Linked DNA regions of Saccharomyces cerevisiae S288C. The gene in region 2 interacts genetically with the main gene of each other region. Each region holds a gene or a part of one and is shown on either strand. Other genes may lie near its edges. The genes, in order: AIM39, SFL1 and NRG1.

Evidence for each region.
Region 1: mutations in SFL1 (region 2) and AIM39 together harm fitness more than expected from each alone (negative genetic interaction), as found in Saccharomyces cerevisiae (2 studies listed by BioGRID).
Region 3: mutations in SFL1 (region 2) and NRG1 together harm fitness more than expected from each alone (negative genetic interaction), as found in Saccharomyces cerevisiae (2 studies listed by BioGRID).

Annotation. Positions count from the first base shown.
Region 1 is NC_001147.6:227,513-234,751, reverse strand, and holds AIM39 (Aim39p), read right to left. Parts: upstream 4,668-7,239; coding exon 3,480-4,667; downstream 1-3,479. Other genes in the region: adenosylmethionine decarboxylase SPE2, read left to right, coding at 1,116-2,306; DDR2 (Ddr2p), read left to right, coding at 2,997-3,182; ubiquitin-protein ligase PSH1, read right to left, coding at 4,918-6,138.
Region 2 is NC_001147.6:581,625-589,024, reverse strand, and holds the start of SFL1 (Sfl1p), read right to left. Parts: upstream 2,045-7,400; coding exon 1-2,044. Other genes in the region: RUP1 (Rup1p), read left to right, coding at 2,701-4,716; SIA1 (Sia1p), read left to right, coding at 5,344-7,212. UniProt on the Saccharomyces cerevisiae protein: Involved in cell surface assembly and regulation of the gene related to flocculation (asexual cell aggregation). Mutations in SFL1 causes constitutive cell aggregation.
Region 3 is NC_001136.10:541,583-548,440, forward strand, and holds NRG1 (transcriptional regulator NRG1), read right to left. Parts: upstream 1,788-6,858; coding exon 1,092-1,787; downstream 1-1,091. Other genes in the region: HEM13 (coproporphyrinogen oxidase), read left to right, coding at 5,060-6,046; DNA-directed RNA polymerase III core subunit RPC11, read right to left, coding at 6,396-6,728. UniProt on the Saccharomyces cerevisiae protein: Transcriptional repressor involved in regulation of glucose repression. Binds to UAS-1 in the STA1 promoter.

The DNA.
Region 1 (7,239 bases), 360 kb from region 2:
ATGGTTGACTATTAAAAGTTTGACTGTAAAGGTTAAGCACCTTCATCATCCTCATCCATAATATAATTTTCTGATCGACGCAACCGGGGCCGGGGTGGAAGGAAGGCCCGATTCGAAATAAAAAAGAGGCCGCCACAATGTAGGGTAATGCCTAATTATATTAACTAGAGACTGACTGAATCATATTACTTAGTTACTACTACTCTTATCATGCAAGAAGATGTGAAAAAGCGTCTTCCCCCAAATCATATAACTTCTGCACCATCCGTGGACTGTACAGGTTCAGCGGGGGAATATGTAATTGCTTGTTAGGATTGCTCTTGGGACCGTAGTATCGCGACAAGGAAGTCTGTGTAGTTCCACTTGATGTGGGCTGCCTCGCCGCTTCTTTTGCAGTCCCTAACCTTATATAGATGCGCACGCGCCAAAGCATGAGGGTACTCCATCATGTCTGTTGCACAAATATCGTAGGTTACTTGACGCTAACGTCATGTTTGATGCTCCGTTAACGAAGAGAATCGGAGCTCTTCATCTTAATCAGGCTCTTTTATAGCTCAATCATCAGTGGAAAAAATTCTTCGAACTAGAAAAAAATCAAGAAGTGAAAAAACTAAAACCGCCAACTGGCTACCCGGATAAGCCCCATAATGGCGTTCCTAGGGCTAGAAGAATTTCAAATCGATGACAGCTGATAGAAAGCGCCAGAGATATGTAGCCTTCCATCAGTAGTAATATCCAATAAATTGGGCACCATGGTTTGGCAATCAGGCTTTTTACCCTCGCCCTCTTTTCCTTCGCCTTTTACCTCTTCTGCATCCAATTTCAGCGTACGTACACAATGATTGACTTTGGAAATTTTCACTTTTTTCCACTCGAAGAAAAAAAATTCCAAACACGGTTCTCCGGTATTTAGGCATCGAATAAACTTTGCTAATCGACTAAAAGCATCTCTGCATATCTATACGTGTATATATTGTATTCGCTACAGCTCGCTCCTTGCATCAACTCTTTTTTTCTTTTTTTTCTTCCAGGTTAATCAATTACTGTACTGTAGCTTCTTTTTTATATTTTTTAGGTTTTCATATAGTGTCTTACGCAAATAGGCGGACCATAGAATGACTGTCACCATAAAAGAATTGACTAACCACAACTACATTGACCACGAACTATCAGCCACTTTAGACTCAACGGATGCGTTCGAGGGTCCCGAGAAGTTGCTGGAAATCTGGTTCTTCCCTCACAAGAAGTCCATCACGACCGAAAAGACATTAAGAAATATTGGCATGGATAGATGGATCGAGATTTTGAAATTAGTGAAATGCGAAGTTCTTTCCATGAAGAAGACTAAAGAACTGGATGCCTTTTTGTTGAGTGAGTCTTCCCTCTTCGTCTTCGATCACAAATTGACGATGAAGACGTGCGGTACTACAACCACATTGTTCTGTCTCGAAAAGCTTTTCCAGATCGTTGAGCAAGAGTTATCGTGGGCTTTCCGCACAACACAAGGGGGCAAGTACAAACCATTTAAAGTGTTTTATTCTAGACGATGTTTCCTTTTCCCCTGTAAGCAAGCCGCTATCCATCAAAACTGGGCTGACGAAGTCGACTATTTGAACAAATTTTTCGACAATGGTAAAAGTTATTCCGTGGGAAGAAATGACAAGAGCAACCACTGGAACCTGTACGTCACCGAGACGGACCGCTCCACACCTAAGGGAAAGGAGTACATCGAGGATGACGACGAAACTTTCGAAGTACTGATGACGGAGCTGGACCCAGAATGCGCTAGTAAGTTTGTTTGCGGGCCTGAGGCATCCACAACCGCTCTCGTGGAGCCAAACGAAGATAAGGGCCACAACCTCGGCTACCAAATGACTAAAAATACAAGGCTTGACGAAATATATGTCAACTCGGCCCAAGACTCCGATTTATCATTTCACCACGATGCATTTGCGTTCACGCCATGTGGATACTCATCCAATATGATTCTCGCTGAAAAATACTATTACACCCTGCACGTGACTCCGGAAAAGGGTTGGTCTTACGCCTCTTTCGAAAGTAACATACCCGTATTTGACATTTCCCAAGGGAAGCAAGACAACTTGGACGTTCTTCTACATATTCTGAACGTTTTTCAACCAAGAGAGTTCTCGATGACCTTTTTTACCAAAAATTATCAGAACCAATCCTTCCAAAAACTACTAAGCATCAACGAGTCACTGCCCGACTACATCAAGTTAGACAAAATTGTTTATGATCTGGACGACTACCACCTTTTCTATATGAAATTGCAGAAGAAAATATGAAAAGCCGCCATTTGTGTCTCCTCATACTTACATAGAATAGCCCTCTTCTATTATCCTTCGCTTGCTTTCTAGCACTCATAACTAATGTAGTTTAACCCGCTTGTATATCTTCTACATCATTACCCCGCATGCTTTTTTTTTTCCTCTAGAGAAAACCGGCACAGATTGGCCGGACCCGGAACAGGAAAAATGGCCACTGAAAATTCCTGGCCAGACCACCCCTGAGCTAAGGGAGTTTAGCCGCTCAAGCTTTTATTTCCTCTGATGTAATATATCACACACCCAGACACGGTTGCCAAGGCCTCGACGGAAGGCCGCTTCAAGGGACGGGGCAGTGGCTATCAGAAATACCTTAATATCATCAATATTTTTCATCAATCGCAAGGTGTCAAACATCAATAAAGGATGATGCTCAAAGGTTTATGCCCGATGTTCTTCTAATCCCCTTTCTCTCCTAAAATAATCCTTTTTTTACTCTTCTTCTTTTCCCCTGTTTCCATTTTTGTCTTTTCTCACCCCTTATGGGACATCAATAATGCAAGTATGTTTATACATTTTTATATAAATGTATATATAAATGCCATTTCTTACACATAACCTCCATTCTTTGGTTAATTCTTTCTTCATTCTTTTTTTTTTCATTCTGAAAAGCCCTCCAAGCAAGCACGCTAATTTAATATCGATTTAAACATGAAAGTATCACAAGTTTTCATTTCTGCCATCTCTGTCTTCGGCCTCGCTACTAGCGTAAATGCTCAAAACGCATCCAACACCACGAGTAACGCTGCTCCTGCTTTGCACGCTCAAAATGGTCAACTACTAAACGCCGGAGTCGTCGGTGCTGCTGTTGGTGGTGCTTTGGCCTTTTTGATTTAGGAAAAACGCCGCTTACTGCCACGATGATGATACCCTATTGACGTTTCTGAAATGTATAATTTCTTTTCTCATCTTCCCCTTTGATATTCCATCTATAGGCCCCAGAGTAGTAAATTTGGTGCTTTAATTTTTTTTCTCTTCTTCCAGTTCGTCTCTATTTTTTCATTCCATTATATTTATTTATCAGTTTTACTTTCTCAAATATTCTTATATAACACTATTTCATCTACGTAACCGAAAATAAGTAGTTTAATAACGATAATAATCATAATTGTGATAAAAATATTTACATTTTTCTTACTTGTCGCCCGCTTCGTTTTTGTATAGAACGTACTGTATTAGTTGTCCGTTCTTTTCACGTCTGAAGAGGTCGATTTCTTGCAATTTAACATCAACGTGGTATTTTCCATTATATACAATCAAAGAATCATCGTCCAGTTCGATTTCGCCATGAAACCAAAGGTGTAATGCATGTGAGTCCCCCTGCAGTGGGTATTCGTACTTGAACGACCCGTATACCCTCTCCGGCGATATAATCTCAAATAAATCGGCTGTTTCCAAACCAATGCGGTTCAGTAAATCGTCGATGGTTCCCCGTATACTTATTGGCCGATGCGTTATCCTCCATTTGCAAACAAAGGGTATTCTATACCAAGTGTGCGAACTATCCCTTTTATCGTCTGGCTCCATTACAATACCAGTTACACATGGATCTTGATCTTCGCACCACATGCTGAATTCATTTAACGTGGGTGAATTGCCATCTTTATCAAGCAATGGTACTCCGTATTGTTCCTTGATCATGTCATGACCGGATAATATCTCTAAAACCCTTAATTTAGAAAGCTTCTGTACTTGGTTTACGTCAACCTTTTTCAAATCTCTGGTACTCAGTTTACGTATCTTGGATGATGGAAACAATGGTAAGAAACTTTGTTCCTTTAAATATATCACTCTATAGATTAGTGAGTATCCTAATATCACACCGAATATACCACCAAATATGGCGGACCATATTTGCTTTCGGCGCTTGTTTCGCTGATGTGTTATTGCTTGACCAATGCTTCTCAAGTCCTCTCCTTTTATGTTAGGACTGTGTCCCTCTTCAATTTCCCCCAACTTCGTCTGTTGCTGTTGATGTGGCGTCGTAAAAAAATGCTTGCCATCATGGACATGCCTTTTCGACTCTGTCAATGAATTTCTTTTAGTTGTAATGCTTTTATTCAAGGTATTCAACCTTACATGACAATAGGTAGGCGCCTGGGTAAATAAGCATATACTTCTCGCGGACAGTAGAGATGTGTTAGCATTACGTAGAATCGCAAACCGTATCATTACCCCTTTTTCCTTCTTCTTGCAATTGAATACAGGAAACAGTTGCTTTGTCTTATGTTCGCTGCCACTCTTCTTTGGTTTTAATGCTTTGTTTCTCTCCTGCACTTGAATTTTATTGCTCGGAAAATGCTTCTTGCATAACCCCCACATAATTGGGCTGATTAACGTGACGCTAAAAAAATACCAATAGCAGTCCCAAAAAAAAAAAAAAAAAGATTCACATATGTATTGATTTTACTTTACGAAATTCTTGACCTATTTATATCATAAACGAGTGCTTATATTTCCGATCCTACTATCGCTTAAAAATCTTAATGTAATAAGGATAGAAAGGAAATTTTTTAAAAACATACATAAAAGTTCCGTACATATGCCGTTCCCGCTAGTTAAAATGTTCAGATTATTCATCGTCACTGTCTCCTAGAACTACACGGAAGCGTTTCTGCCTTTTCGGTTGTGGGTCATCTAATTCTTCCGTGTTATCGTCATTGTTATCCTTGACATCGCTGGAGCCGGAATACGAAAGTGAACGATCTTCGGAATCAGAACTCGATTGTATCCGTGTAACCTCCTTCTGATCCTCATCAAGGCTATCACCACTTACAAAACCATCATCATTATGCTCGTAAAAGTCACTATCGCGATCTTCCTCTTCTGTAGCATGTCGCCGTTGCTCCTCTTCCTCATCATCAGTAATAATTACATGTCTGTTCTTGAGTGCAGACAATACCAAATTCCTCCTACTTCCATCTTCATCTTCGTCATCTTCATCATCCTCTATAAAATCTTTCAAATCGGAATCCATCTCCTCTTCTTCTTCCTCATCCTCTTCTTCGTCGTCTTCATCATCCACAGCATCCACAGCAATACTACGATTATGTGACCTGGCCCAACGGCCTAGTGGGATATGTTCTCGCATGGGCTCCTCTTCACTGCTATCATCGTCTTCAGAACTTACATCATCTCTATTAGCAAACGGATTGGTAGACGCAAATCGATTCTCTCTACGCCTACGCATGCTTTCCCGGATTTCATCCAACTCTCCTTCACTGTATTCTTCTTCATCAAATTCGTCGCGACCACCTGCGTAATTCCGTATTCTGGCATTGCAGTGGGGACAAACATTTCCGTCCTCTACTTCGTCTGGGTCTAATTCCCAATGACAATTACTACAACGTGTGATACCATCATCCGAGTCGTCGGCCACTGCCAATGCGCTATTCTTAAATACTTTGTCAAACAATGTGTCCTTTTCCTTGTCATTCTTGTAATCATTTTCCTCCTTGGTTTTAGTTGTTAAAAGTTTTTTAAAAGATTCATCATTCTGGTCCCTTAATTTCTCTAAAATGAATGATAGATACTGTTGCAACGTTGTATTCAATGCGGGAATGGTGGTAATATCAGATCTGCACTGCGGACAAGCCAATTCTTTTTGAGTATTGCTGGCAAACCAGGTGTTCAGACAACCATAGCAATAATTATGACCACAAGGTGTCATCATCGGTACAAACATATAATCGTGGCAGATGGAGCAAACTAACGATTCTATTATCTTATAAAGTATGGCGTCCTTGGTGCCATCGTTTTGGTGAAGTAAACGGTTGTGTAATTCGTCGCCCATTATTCTTATCAATATATTAAAACTTTCTGTCTGAGAAAAAACGCGATCGTTCGTTTTCTGAAAACTTAATGCTTAAAATAGAATATTATCAAATTCCTCATCGCAGTTGTATGCTAGAAGAGAGCTCATCTAAATTGTAGTGGACATAGGATAAAAAACGCCATTGTGTGAAATGGCCCGAAAAAAAAGTATTGGGTATTCAAAAATAACGACCCCAGTGAGGGTTGAACTCACGATCTTGCGATTAACAGTCGCACGCCTTAACCAACTTGGCCATGGAGTCTAATATTTTATGAAAGATCTAAATTTTAGAAACTTAATGATGCACAGTTCTCAATGCACAAGATTGTGAGAAATGGGAGAATTTTGAGACAATTGTTGAGATTCCATTATTAATAAAGGTTTAATATTAGGTATATAGAACATGTTAGAGGTGTTGGAATGAAACTTTAAAATATCATCTTTTTAGTAGTATTCGTGTTACTAGTATATTATCACATGCAGTGTAAGAAGATAACATAAAGATTGGGAAACAGTTAGATTGATTGAAGCGAAATGCAAGGACTAATAATGTAATAGGATAATGAAATGTATAAAACGGAATTGGGAATATTCGTAATATTAGTATGTAGAAATATAGATTCCTTTTTGAGGATTCCTATATCCTCGAGGAAAATTTCTATTATAATCTGTATACATAATATTATAGCCTTCACCAACAATGGAATGACAACAATTATCAAATTATTCACCCAGTATTCAAGAGGTTTTCCACAAGGATATAGGAATCCATAAAAAGGCATCAGTATTATTATTACCATTTCTTATTCATTTACACGCCGTTATTCACTATTATTGAATAATCAATCATTGCATTTTTCAGCTTCCATTACATCTGATGCTATTTCTTAACCTTTATGGTTGCCTCTTATTCAACAAAATTAAAAGGATGAGGATAGAGAGTTAACTGGTTTTAATTTTTGTAGATGTAATGTATCCTCTTACAATTTACATTTGTTAACTCTAGGACATTATTAGGCTAATAAAATCATAACAAAAAGAAAAAAAAAACAAACGAAACAAAGTATTTTTTGTATGCCA
Region 2 (7,400 bases):
AAGAAACAGCAGGAAGATTGTCCATGTTTTTTGGAGGAGGGCCCGTCAAGACAGACGAGTCTAATGGAGTTACCGAATCTGGAGCACAATTAGCAGCTTTGTTTAATGAGCGAAGCAATCCCTGCTGAGAGTACCGAATTGGGGCTGGATTGTTGGCAACTAGTGTAAAAGAGGAGGATAAAGACGTGCCCGAAATACTGGATTTGAGAGAGTTTCTAGGTTTGGGATACAGACTATCTTCATTCAACGATGATCTCGGTGTCAGCTTCAGAGGACTGTTTCTTCTATCGTTGGGCAAAGAGCTTGTAGACCCGAGACTTCTCATTTTTGGTTGAGAATACAATCTCGTTGTTGGTTCATTAATAGGATATATTGGACTCGGAGCCATATTTTGAGGGACAGGCTTGTTGTAGTCACGGACAGAAGGATTAATATTCATGATAGGATAGTTTAGTGGACCCTGAACTCCAACACTCGCTGCGGGAGTCAGCGGGTCCATGAGAACACTATTGGTCCTCTTCGTGTTGCCCGGTTTGTTGTTATTTTTCGAGGCAAAAGGATTGTGCATCATTTGTGGAGTGCTAAAAGTGTCTGCATATTGTGGAGGTAGTTGTTGGATGGGTATCGGCTGATTGATAAAGTTTGGTACATGTGCCGGTTGCTTCGCATAAGTCACATGTTGTTGCGACTGCGGTTGGTATTGTACAAAAAGTTGCGAGGGCGGCACTGAAGCCGTGTTGAATCTCGAAGGGATGTTCGTGGTCGAGGAAGATTTCTGCGGGACATACTGGTTCCCTGGAGGAACCATCATCTCATACTGAGATTTGGGTGCATATGCAGATGTGGATGTGGGCGCGGGTGCAGGGGCGACAGAGGCAGCGGTAGCGGCAGCATTTACAGCACAAAGAGAATCTATTGTACGGTGGGCCCTCGACATGACGTGCTGTTTGAAAGTTAACATATCGCTTTCGAATGCCTGAAGTTGCTTTTGGTGATCCTTCACGATATTTTCCGATTTTTTCTTGCTCACATTCTTGAAGGTGAAACTCTGTGAACAAAAACTGTGTTGCAAAGATATGAAATGCTGCATAGACTCTATAATCTTAACCATATCAAAATTTATTTCTTTCAAATGTTTCAGTGTTTCATCTTGAAAGTTCGGAGGTCTGTTTTGCTCTTGCATTTCCGGGTTATTGGATTCCAGCGGGGCATGGTTTGCGTTTTCGTAAGTTACATGAGAGTTATTAAAGTACTCGGGGATAGAGTTATTGGCGCCCGGAATTTGCGGAACGAAATTACCAAAGGAATTGGAACTGGTGGACGGGTCTTGAATCGAAGAGGGTCTTACTCTTGCACCGGAATCTATATCGTAGTTTTGATTACTAGAATTCTTTCGACTGTTAATTGAGGAGTTATTACGGGAAGAAGCTCTTCTCTTAATGTGTTTGAGTCCCTCAATGTCACCTTTCTTGAAAATACCAGAACTATGCTTAAATTCCCAGATTTTAGTGGGGTTACTTTTCTCCTTTTCTTGGACACCGCCACCGGTATTTTCGTCGCCACTACTGTTTTTGTTGCCACTATTATCATCGTGAGTATTGCTGTCATCATTAGTATTGGCGTCGTCGCCACTATTAGCGTCGTTGCTGCTATGATCATGCGACACCTTGTGAAAGCCGTAAATGTTCAACTGTCTTACAAAGCTCGTGATATTAGTATGCTTGAAATATGTAGCCAAAGCCTTACTAAACCGTTCCACAGGCTTAATCATGAAGGATAAGCCCGAAGGGGTCCACCATATCAAGTCGTGTAGCGATTCGTCCTCCAGAATCTGGTATAGCTTATGGATGAATATCGCATTTTGTGGCGGCCTGGGCCCCACTAGCATCTTCGACCCATGTTTCTTAACATCCTCGGCACCGTCGCCGCCTTCAGCACCAGCATTAGCTATTCCAGCTGCTGCTCCACCACTACCTACATCGGTTCCAGCCGGGGCCGGTGTAGAAGCTGGAGCTGGGGCTGAGACCGTTTCCTCTTCACTCATGATTTTTTCTTCTTTTTTTCTATATAACTGATTTGTGCTGTCTTAGGACCCTCTGAATGTACCAAATAGTGTCGAATTACAATATTCTTTGTTATGTATATAGAGCTGAGTGCTTTGTGTGCGTATGCGTATGTGTGTGTGTGTGAATTTTTTCCTTGAACCTGTCACTGTGGCGATGAAGGTTCACTATGTTCTTTTTTCCCTGCTTTTCAAACTATCTTTGAAACTTTCCACTTCACACCAGTACGACTTCTTTGAAAAATTCGTAAGTCGAATAAATAATATTATTTCGCCGTGCGTTTGTGTTTCTGTTTCAACAACCCTTTGTGTGCACCTGTATAGAGTGTTTAAAAAGAGATCCTTCTTGCTAGCTGAAAAAGTTTATGTCGAATAAAAACGTCTTTTCATGTACTGAACATCTGTTTTTCCGGCGGAGATGCAGCGATGGATGCGCTTGCTGCCAAGGCATCTGTGCCGGGCGGGTGATGTCCGGGCGACCCGGCACGGAAGTAAAAGATACTATTGTTGAAAGGTACTTCTCACTACAAGGCTTAAGGACCTGTCGGAGTAGAGGAAAGAAGAGAAGAAGCCGGAAAAGGAGAGTCGTCACCTGTAAAAGGAATCTTAAGTAATTGATTTTTGTTAAGTAAGCTACGATGATGGATAATCAGGCTGTAAAGTCACTGCTAGAAATGGGTATTCCACACGAAGTAGCTGTGGACGCCCTCCAAAGAACTGGCGGTAATTTGGAGGCAGCAGTTAACTTCATCTTTTCGAACGAGCTGCCGGAGCAAGCGGAAATGGGTGAGGAGAATGATGGCAGTCAGCCTAGGATTTCTGAGAACAAAATAGTGGCTGGAACCAAGCCCTGCGATGTTCCGAACAACGGGGACCAAGACATTGATATGCCGGATGTGAGTGGTGTCGATGTTGATTATGATGACGATGAAGACATCACGGATGAACGCAGCGGTTCTAATAGCACCAGCGGATGCAGGGTTACTGCTCAGAACTACGATCGTTATTCTATATCGGAGACATCCATTCCTCCCCCCTCTTATAGTATAGTACAACACAACGAGTTCAAGTCGAACGTGGGCGATCCTACGGTTGTGTTGCCGCTACCCTTGAATAGTCTAATTGAGAGCTATTTTGGGCTGTTTGCGTTGCTCACGGCCGTGTATTTCCCACACGTGTTCTTGAAACCGGACTTTAAGGATTTGAACTATAGGGCAGACTGGTTCAAGGGCTCATCGTTTACGGAGCCCAAATACAGACTTGCATATTGCGAGGCAGAAGATGGTTCCACTACGTCGGAGATCGTGCTGGCCAGCGGACCTAATGAAGGGTTGCAACCGCATCTGCTCTGGCAGTTGCAAAAACTCATCTCCGTGGTTAACACGCGAAAGTGTGAAAGAGCCTTTGTTTCGGCCAAGGTGTTTACGTCGTCCTTGGAACCGCAATTGAGGTCCAAGCTGGCCGATTCCGAGCATCTTTATGAGGTGCTCCCAGCGTTTATCAAATCATTGGCAGTGGATTTGGAAATGTGTCCTGGGATCAGAGACCGGGAAACAAGAAGTCTCTTTATATCTTCTGCTTTGCATACTCCGAACAAGAATGAACCTCCAATGGAGACGTTTTTGTCCTTGTTTCATTTTCTTCCTGAAGAGTACGATTCTAATCTATATAAAATGTTCAACGTTTTATTGTACCCCGAAGAAGAGGAAGAAGAAGAAGACGTGATTCGTGGTGGCGAGCAAGAAGAGGCGAGATATGTGGAACCGGAGAATACTTTGAAGGAGGTGGCACCCGTATTAACAATCCTGTTCAATGAACTAGAAACAAATACAGAATCAGTGTCTCTACCCAATGGCGTGGATATACCGCTTGAGTTTTACCCACAGCTTTACACCAAACAGTGCAAAGACCAACTAATAAGACATATTATTTCTAAACGAAAGCAAGCGCGGACCAGATCCAGATGCTTGCTTCAAGAGATCAACGAGTTAAAGAGTTACCAAGGCAAAAACATATCCACTATTCTAGAGTCGACGCTGGCGTATCTACAAACAATTCCTGACGATGCTAATAATGAAGCAGCAAAGCAGATCGCATCGTTGAAAGATACATTAAATTCTGCGAGAGCCGCTAAAATGGAGGAATATAAGGACTTGGCGTCCAAACTGCATGGAGAATGGAACCTTTCACATCCAGAGACACACATAATCAACACTGCAAAGCAATTGGGACTGATCGAAAATCCCTACATCCTCACAATGGCAGCACTATCGCCATATTCATACTTTATCAGAAGCAGAAACGGTGCATGGTCATGGATACAAAGTAATACGTTGGGAACAGAATTCAAGGTGAAAAAATGTTCGTCGCCTTCTGTCGTTCAAGAAGCCATCAAGCATGGCACGAAGTACGCAAGTGAAACTCCGCTGATGTTCATATACTGTGAAGAGGGTAAAATTCCCACGGAAGAAGTAGTCGCGGAAGCGTTGAAAAGCAATAGCGGGTGCTTAAAATTTGCTGAGGATGACCAAAATTCATTAAAAACATTGCGTTCGCAATTTTTCGATGGTATGGGAGATCCTGAACAAGCCACCAACAATATTAACAATGGTAACGATAATGACAATGACGATGACATCGATTCTGATAATTAGATAGATTTCTATACACTTTCCGCCAGATAAATAACGTATGTCTCTTTAAACTATGATCTCATTTTCTCTAGTAATTTTGAACCGCATATATGTTACTAGTTTACGTTTTCAATACTATAGAAACTCCGCTTGGAGGCTAACTGCGCCCGCAATCCGAAAACTTCTATTTACGGACATAAATTAGACTCTAAGGATCAAACAAAAATAAAAAGGTTGACAGATAAAGGACAGTTTTAATTTTTATACTTTTGATCTGAAATAATGCCAAGTCCTAAACTTATTATAATATAGCCTCGAACACAAGATCATTGAGTTGCTTTTTCTAACTTCTCCTTTCTTTATTTTACTTTAGCCGCAACAATACCCCTTCTATTTTAATTCTGACTTCAATTCATTTCAACTTTACGACCTTTTTTTTCAATTTCGGTTCTGCAGTACTCTTCATTTGTCGATTAATTCGAGGTTTTCATTATTTCTTGAAATTTCTTTCAAGTTGCTTTAGTTTCATTTCCAAAAGAGATTTAAATAACTTACCTTTTTCTCATTCCTTTCGATTATTTTACTTTCCAACAATTAGCTCTTATCACATTCATTGACCTTCGCAAACAATACCCTTCAAATATTTGCATGAGATTACATTATAGAAGAAGATTTAATTTTTTAAGGAGAATACTTTTTATATTATGCATTACTTCATTGTATTTATCGAGAGATTCACTAAAGCTACATGCAAAAAATGTATTAATGGATCATAATGTAGCAGAATATCATGGCGGAATGATAGACGATATTCAAATCCTGCGGTGCTACCATTGGTACAGGCAATGTAGTTCTTTGTATGCCCCGAAATTACACCCCTCCAATACTGCTAAAAAGATCAAAGACAAAAACAGCATTCTGTGGACCAGAGTTTCTAAGAATATTACTGTAGAGACATTGTATTCACTTCAGTCTGGACCATTCTACAACAGTTACTTATATGTTCATCTGAAAGATTTCCAAAGTAATCCAAAAAACACAATAAAAGAACTAGCCATAGCAAGGGACTCAGCACTAATACCCCTACAAGTGCTGAGAGACATTAATAAGTTGGTGAAATCGAGCGACAGTTCTGTCTTTCACAATCATGTGTATCTACGAGAAAAGCCTACTTCGTCATGGTGGAAGCTGCTTTTCGGCATATCCGTTGATACAGATAACATAGCTGTGTTCGGTGAGGAGTGGGTATACAAGGGGAGCGGCATATGGTGTAAGTATATCCTTAATGATGATGATAATGACGCTCCTATAACTAATTTGGAAATATATCTAGGATCATCGTTTATTGAATCGAGGCCTTCTTGGAAAGAAGTTATCCATGAATTTCATAGAAATAACATACCTTCTCTGCCCATATCAATTACAAGAAAGCTTGAAACCAAAAACCATCATCACAAATTTTCTAATGGATTGCTAGGTTCTTTGAGAACACCCAGCAAAGACATTAATATCCAAGTCGATGCAGATTACAAAATAACATCTCCCCATATACAATTTTCGAGGGGACAAAGATCATTCAAAATTCTCCAAATAACTGATTTTCATTTCAAATGTACGGATAATAGCATGACCGTAATCAATGAAATAAAAACAGTAAATTTTATTGATAGGGTACTCGCATCAGAAAACCCTGATTTAGTTGTGATCACAGGTGATTTGTTAGACTCACATAATACTATCGACTATCAAACGTGCATTATGAAAGTTGTCCAACCAATGATTTCTAATAAAATACCCTACGCAATTTCATTGGGTGTTTCTGACGAATCCAATTTGGCCACATCGGCACAAATTAGAGACTTTATCAGGAATTTACCTTACACATTTAACAACGTTGCATCAGAAGAGGGTCATATGGCCATAGAAGTCTCATTTAAAAAGAAGCTCACGAAGAATACTCTTTTGGAAAGAGACATTGATACCGAAGACGAAACAAACCCATCAGAGGCTTTATTTTTCGTCTTTGATTCATTTGCGCCCGTCAATAATTTCCTACAAGATTATAACGACCTGATTGGGAAAATAGACTTTGGCTTGGCATTTCAATATTTTCCATTATCGGAATATAGGCCTCATGGTTTATTTCCTATTATTGGGCAGTATAATGAGAGGTCTACCTTAACAGTAGATACGCCAAGGTCTAGAGGACAAGTTTCAATGACGATCAATGGCAAACATTACAAAAGCTTCCTTGATATCCTGAGTCTTTGGAATATAAAGGGTGTCAGTTGCGGACATGAACATAATAATGACTGTTGCTTACAGTCAAAAAATGAGATGTGGTTATGTTACGGTGGGTCCGCTGGTATAGGCTTGCCGAGAATCCAAGGTATATATCCAACCGTTAGATTATTTAACTTGGATGATATTTTGGACGAAATAACTTCGTGGAAGAGGAATAGCAATCTTGTTGACGAGGTTTACGATTATCAGTACATCTATAAGGGGAAGCAATAATTTCAATGATTAATTTTGTAAGGTGAACATTGACTGCCAGCAGGATAGATGATAGATAGACATAAACAAAATATACATAACACACGGTGGTGTTTTCTTTTTACACATAATATATTTAATTCTTTTTCTTTTTTTTTTTTTTTGGTTTACAAGTCCACTGAGGGACATTTTGAGTTATCACTTATGGT
Region 3 (6,858 bases), on a different chromosome or scaffold from region 2:
GAATGACGCGAAAATATATTATCAGTGTTAAAAAGCTATTGTCAAAGTTTGTTTCCACCTATAAAGGATTCGGACGAAGAAATTCATGTTGTTGTTGTTATAGGATATCATCATATATATTTTCGATCACTCGCCAAGAGAATGTATAATAAGGAAAAAGATACCACGTTCTTCTGAACATGTTCAATATCCTTTCTCCTACTTTGCTCAGTACTTGAGCCCCATGCGTTTACATGATTTCAAAAGATATGGAGCTGAAGCCTTTTGTCTTGGCCGAGGATATGGCACCTTTTATATGACCGTATGGAAGACGTAGAGTGGATGAAAATTTTGTGAAAAAAAAAAGCTTATAGGAACAAAAACATCCTTACATCTTCGGGTATTTCTTCTAGGGTTGAAGTATAATAATTAACTATACTATTGTTCGGAGACAGTTCTGATGCCTAGTAAAACGCTTGCAGCTCTAAAAAAATTTGTCTTATTTTTTTCTTCTTCAATGAGCTGTTACCATTGCTGTAAGAGATGCTCGAAAGGTAGTACCTTCAGTGAATTATCTGACGTACATCACGTGAACTGTTTTGCGTAGTAAATTGTTCAACGATAATATATCGTTGTTAGTGATCAAAAAGTAACTATGCAAACTGCAAATGTCAAAAAGCCACAGTTTCTAAAAGAAAAGCAATGAATGAAGAAGGTTTGGGGTTGTAAATGTTAATGCAGCGACGTCTGTTTTTTTGTTATGACAGGAAGTCAGGAGGTAGTCACAGTCTCGTATTAAGCAAAAGTGGTCTGTTTAGGTGGCATAATAGCCTTGTTGCAGCACTACTTGCTACCGAGGCGCAGCCTTACAACTAAAATGTCCAGACATGATCTTAAGCGGAAGGGAGGGGTTTTTGCTTCCGTTTTTTTGACATTAAAAGTTTTCTTAATGCCGCGCGTTTGAAAGGAAACTGATCTGAAAGTGATTTATGATGCCAAAAAAAAAAAAAAATCTTTTGAAGTACAATGTATGTATGCATGAGTTTATAAAAAATGATGTAAAGTGCGGAATAGTAGTACTGCTAATGAGAAAAACACGGGTATACCGTCAATTATTGTCCCTTTTTCAAATGTGTTCTATAGTGTTGCAAGCAATTATCATGTCGACTGAATCGCTGCGTGCATCCCTTATACGGACAACAATGATTTTTTTCGCCCGTATGAATTCTATTATGCCTTGCTAAATGACCCGATGTAGTGAATCCTCTTGCGCAAATTTTGCAAATGTATTTGCGCCTTTGTTCAAGGTCTTCCTCATCTGATAACGTATTTCTTGGATCTGTTCTTTGCTTCCGCGTTTTCAGAGAGTATCTACTATTTGCCATCTTATTATATGCATCATTAGAAACTATTCCGTTCTCAGGCTGTTGTATTATTGATGAATTACAAGTTAGTTGTGATAGCGAGCTTTTTTCGGATGAATCTGAATTATATTGTACCGATGAATTGTCAAAAGAGACGCTTCTTGTTTGTAAATTAGGCGTTATTAAGTATTTTGGCTCCCACTTTTCAGAGCCATTTTCTGATTTGGTTTGGTATCGGAAATCAAAAGCAGTCTTATTTAATTTGTGTTTTAGTTCATTCTCTACCACATGAGAATTAGTTAGAACTGGTAGTAGCGTCTGATATTTTCTTTCCGGGCTTATTTCAACGTTTTCTTCATCTTGCATTCCATCAAATGCGGAGATTCCCGGCAGTGCGGGCATAGTAGAAACATTGAGGTTACTATAGTTATATGGGTAAAACATTGCCTGAAAGTTTGCGAAGGGTAGTAATATGCTGGTCGAGAGGAACAATCCAAGAAAGGTGAATGGTAGAAAAAGGCGCCGTAATGGTAGGAATTACAGTACAATAATACTTTGCAGAATCGTATACGATATGATTTTTACTTTCAAAAGCTGCAGAATTCCCTTATAGCATCAAAAAACTGTAAACGAGGTGGAGTAATATAATTTCTTTTAGTTAAGAGATGGGAACCAAATTTTTTTTAATTTGGGTTTGGAAAGTTCTCTTCCTTATATATGAATAACGGAAAAGGAGCCTGCAGCCAGACTGTAGAAAGATGACACTGCCAAGAGAATAATTAAAAGAAAAAACACCCCAAACACCCTGACCGGCGGCGAAGCCCCTCTGCGCGCTCAACGCGTTTCGTTTCACGCTTAAGGGTCCTCAAGAGGCCATAGTCTTTTACCGATAAGAAAAATCTAGACCCAATGAATTTTTCCCTTCTTTTCCGGTGCGGCCTTTTCACTGCTAAACAGTAAAAAGCATTTCTTGGCTTTCCCTGAGGGTGTTGACCGCAACCAAGCCAATACTTCATTTTGCTTTTTCCTCTTTTAGAAAACAGAGTTTTCCCTGTCTCAAACGTTTCAAAGACAAATATGCGGAAAATCAACTTATAAGTAGAAAAATACTAGCGATTTTTCTAGTTAGAATATTTAGGGGAACTATGCGAAGACAAACGGTGAAGTCAAAAGAAACACACTGCCTCGATTAGAAAGGCTTATCTGCCACAGTTTAATTTTTTTTTAATTTTATTTCTTTTTTTTTTATTTAACTAGAATCTGGCTAAAAATAAGCAACGGTCCGTGTAGATTACTGTTTCGAACGAGGAACAACTGAAGGAAAAGTTTTTTATTTTCCGCGAAGTTCGTATATTTTAGTTTTCTTTTACTCCAAGGGTTCGTGACGTCGAATTCCTATCAGCTTTTTTTTGCGCTTGGCGTTCTAGGTCCCTGTGCCCGTCTGAAACTATTCGTACATAGCATTACTAGAGTACATAATATCGTCTACCATACATACGACGGGTAGCCAGATTTTGTGCCGGATTGTCGGGGAAAAGACGGCAAATGAGCTCATACGTAATGGTGCGATTTTGATTCTTAGCTTTCTATTTCTGGAGAAAAGTACTCCAAGGTGGGGAAGGGGGGAGGCTGGGACTAGTTGTTATATGATGTAGCCTAAATGTAACGAGGCGTGGCTCTTTCATCTTATCTCAATGAATAAGTGTAAATTGCCTCGCCTGGTTTAATCTTTTCTCCACATGCAGTAATAGGTATAAAAGGAGTTGAAATTAAAAATAATAATAAATAATGATATAAAAATTATAAGTTTCTCCTTTCGGAACTAAAAAATAATATTAATAATAATATATAAATATTATATCTTTTTTATAATATAACATAGATACGAGTTTTTATGTTCCTTTGGCAATAGCTTTTCGTGACTTGTTTTAAATACAAGGCATATAGGCGCAGCTTCACCAAGATATTCTGGCTTAAACCAGCACTATGTATATTTTGGTGTTTGATACCGATATCGGCAGCTCGAAGCGTTTTTATGAACTGTAAAAATATGTCCTACATAGTTGTTTGGTAATTTTTTGGTTTTTTAAGATTGTTTTATGAATAGGTGTTTTACCAGAAGGCTATCGCCAGGTAACTCTTTTAACTAAATCGAAAAGATTTATTTGACGTGTCATATTGTAAAAACTAAATGGAAGACAGAAACTAACTTTGTCGACACCTATTTTAAACAAGTATCAAACGCGGGCTATAATTTTTATGAGAGCAATCAATGCAATGGAGTCTATTTCCGGTTAAATGGCACGATTGTGCGTAAAAACACGAGAAAGTGGAAGCATCTTTTTCTTAATGACGGATAATTACCCGAAACAGTGCAACTGCAAGTGCATACTCTTGAAGGACTTACATATTGAGAGGGAACACATTACTACCTTTCAAGAACACTCGCATTTACGGCGTACATATGGTTCCGCGGTAGACCCTAGGTTGAATTGAAAACCATGTTTTGAAGGAAAGCAAAGGCAGAATGAGAACATGGAGATGTAAATATTTTCCCAGTTAGGCATGACCCAAAATCGCAATCCAGATGCAATTTATTATGACACGTAGACCTTTCCGTATCTAACGTAATAAACGATATCTATTTTCGAGGCGCTCGACATCTCGTATCTGGGACAGAAAGTGAGGTAGATTATTCAAGAATACCTATTAAGAAAGGTAGAAGGTATTGCACCGATTCCTAGTATCAATTCTTTTCAAAACCACTTATTTTGCAAAACATGCGTCTAACCTGCCATTTCAGCAACGTAAATAATAATTACTTCCATATATATTCTTCTCCCCCAGTAGCAATTTTGACATGACAAATTTCAGCGATAGTTGCTTCGGCATTCGAAAATCGTAGAAGTATGTCTTAATGTAGAAGGTTGAGAACAACCGGATCTTGCGGTCATTTTTCTTTTCGAGGAAAGTGCAAGTCTGCCACTTTCCAGAAGGCATAGCCTTGCCCTTTTGTTGATATTTCTCCCCACCGTAATTGTTGCATTCGCGATCTTTTCAACAATACATTTTATCATCAAGCCCGCAAATCCTCTGGAGTTTGTCCTCTCGTTCACTGTTGGGAAAAACAATACGCCTAATTCGTGATTAAGATTCTTCAAACCATTTCCTGCGGAGTTTTTACTGTGTGTTGAACGGTTCACAGCGTAAAAAAAAGTTACTATAGGCACGGTATTTTAATTTCAATTGTTTAGAAAGTGCCTTCACACCATTAGCCCCTGGGATTACCGTCATAGGCACTTTCTGCTGAGCTCCTGCGAGATTTCTGCGCTGAAAGAGTAAAAGAAATCTTTCACAGCGGCTCCGCGGGCCCTTCTACTTTTAAACGAGTCGCAGGAACAGAAGCCAAATTTCAAAGAACGCTACGCTTTCGCCTTTTCTGGTTCTCCCACCAATAACGCTCCAGCTTGAACAAAGCATAAGACTGCAACCAAAGCGCTGACGGACGATCCGAAGATAAAGCTTGCTTTGCCCATTGTTCTCGTTTCGAAAGGCTATATAAGGACACGGATTTTCCTTTTTTTTTCCACCTATTGTCTTTCTTTGTTAAGCTTTTATTCTCCGGGTTTTCTTTTTTTGAGCATATCAAAAGCTTTCTTTTCGCAAATCAAACATAGCAAACCGAACTCTTCGAACACAATTAAATACACATAAAGATGCCTGCCCCTCAAGATCCAAGGAATCTTCCAATTAGACAACAAATGGAAGCTCTTATCCGTCGCAAACAAGCTGAAATCACGCAAGGTTTGGAATCCATCGATACTGTTAAGTTCCACGCTGATACTTGGACCCGTGGTAACGATGGTGGTGGTGGTACCTCTATGGTTATCCAAGACGGTACAACTTTCGAAAAAGGTGGTGTTAATGTCTCCGTTGTTTATGGTCAATTGAGCCCAGCGGCCGTTTCAGCCATGAAAGCTGATCATAAGAATCTGCGTCTACCAGAAGATCCAAAGACTGGTTTGCCAGTTACCGACGGTGTCAAGTTCTTCGCTTGTGGTTTAAGTATGGTCATTCATCCCGTTAACCCACACGCTCCAACCACGCACTTAAACTACCGTTACTTCGAAACTTGGAACCAAGATGGGACCCCACAAACTTGGTGGTTTGGTGGTGGTGCTGATTTGACACCTTCTTACTTATACGAAGAAGACGGTCAATTATTCCACCAACTGCACAAGGATGCCTTGGACAAGCACGACACTGCTTTGTACCCACGTTTCAAGAAATGGTGTGATGAGTACTTCTACATTACCCACCGTAAGGAAACACGTGGTATTGGTGGTATATTCTTTGACGATTATGATGAACGTGACCCACAAGAAATATTGAAGATGGTTGAAGACTGTTTCGATGCTTTCTTGCCATCCTACTTGACTATCGTCAAGAGAAGAAAAGATATGCCATATACAAAGGAAGAACAACAATGGCAGGCCATTAGACGTGGTAGATACGTTGAATTCAACTTAATCTACGATAGAGGTACCCAATTCGGTTTGAGAACCCCAGGCTCTAGAGTTGAGTCAATTTTGATGAGTTTGCCTGAACATGCTTCATGGTTATACAACCACCACCCTGCTCCTGGTTCCAGAGAAGCTAAATTACTAGAAGTTACCACCAAACCAAGAGAGTGGGTTAAATAATTCAAGGTTCTTTAGCAGACCGATTTTATGATCTCAATGACAATGATGATTTAATTATTTCGACCACTTATTTATACATTTTTTTATCTATTTATTATACCTCCTTTACATAATTCTTCAAATTCAATTGATACAGGATCTCTATTCTTAAAAATATTAATTATTGCGTCCTATTTATGATGCAAGTTCACAGTACGTGCAGGATCAAAAATTATATCAGTATCTATTGCTCTAAAAATATGGCAGCAGCCTTCATTCTCAATATGCGATCATGCCTTCTAATCAAATTTTAAGATGTTTTTATTACTCTTTTTATTCTTAGAAAATTCATCTTATATTCAAGGACTTCTTAATTTTCCTTCCATCTATGACCACAGTTTACACACTTATAAAAGGTAGTCATCGGCTCATCAGCTGACCTAATTTGTAGTTGGAAAAAGTAAGCACTCTCACCACCACAAGTATCATAATTGGGACATTGGGTTTTGGTTTGATCCACATTGTCCCAACCACCACCAAGAACATCATCAACTTCCTTTCTTGGAAGTTTCTTCCTATCATAGATTTCTATACCCTCTATAGGAAACTCATATGGACATGAACGGCATGCTAATGTATATACACCACTATCGCCACTCGTTATCAGTAGCATATTGTTACACGAAGGACAAAACGAAAGCATCCTAAATTATGTATTTTACGTTTTACCAATGAATGCGAACTCTTTTGCTTATATAGCCATATAACGTATGCGTTTTCCAGAAAGAAGATTCTCGGTTATGCTTTTGGATAAAACTTTTCCTACTGTTCTT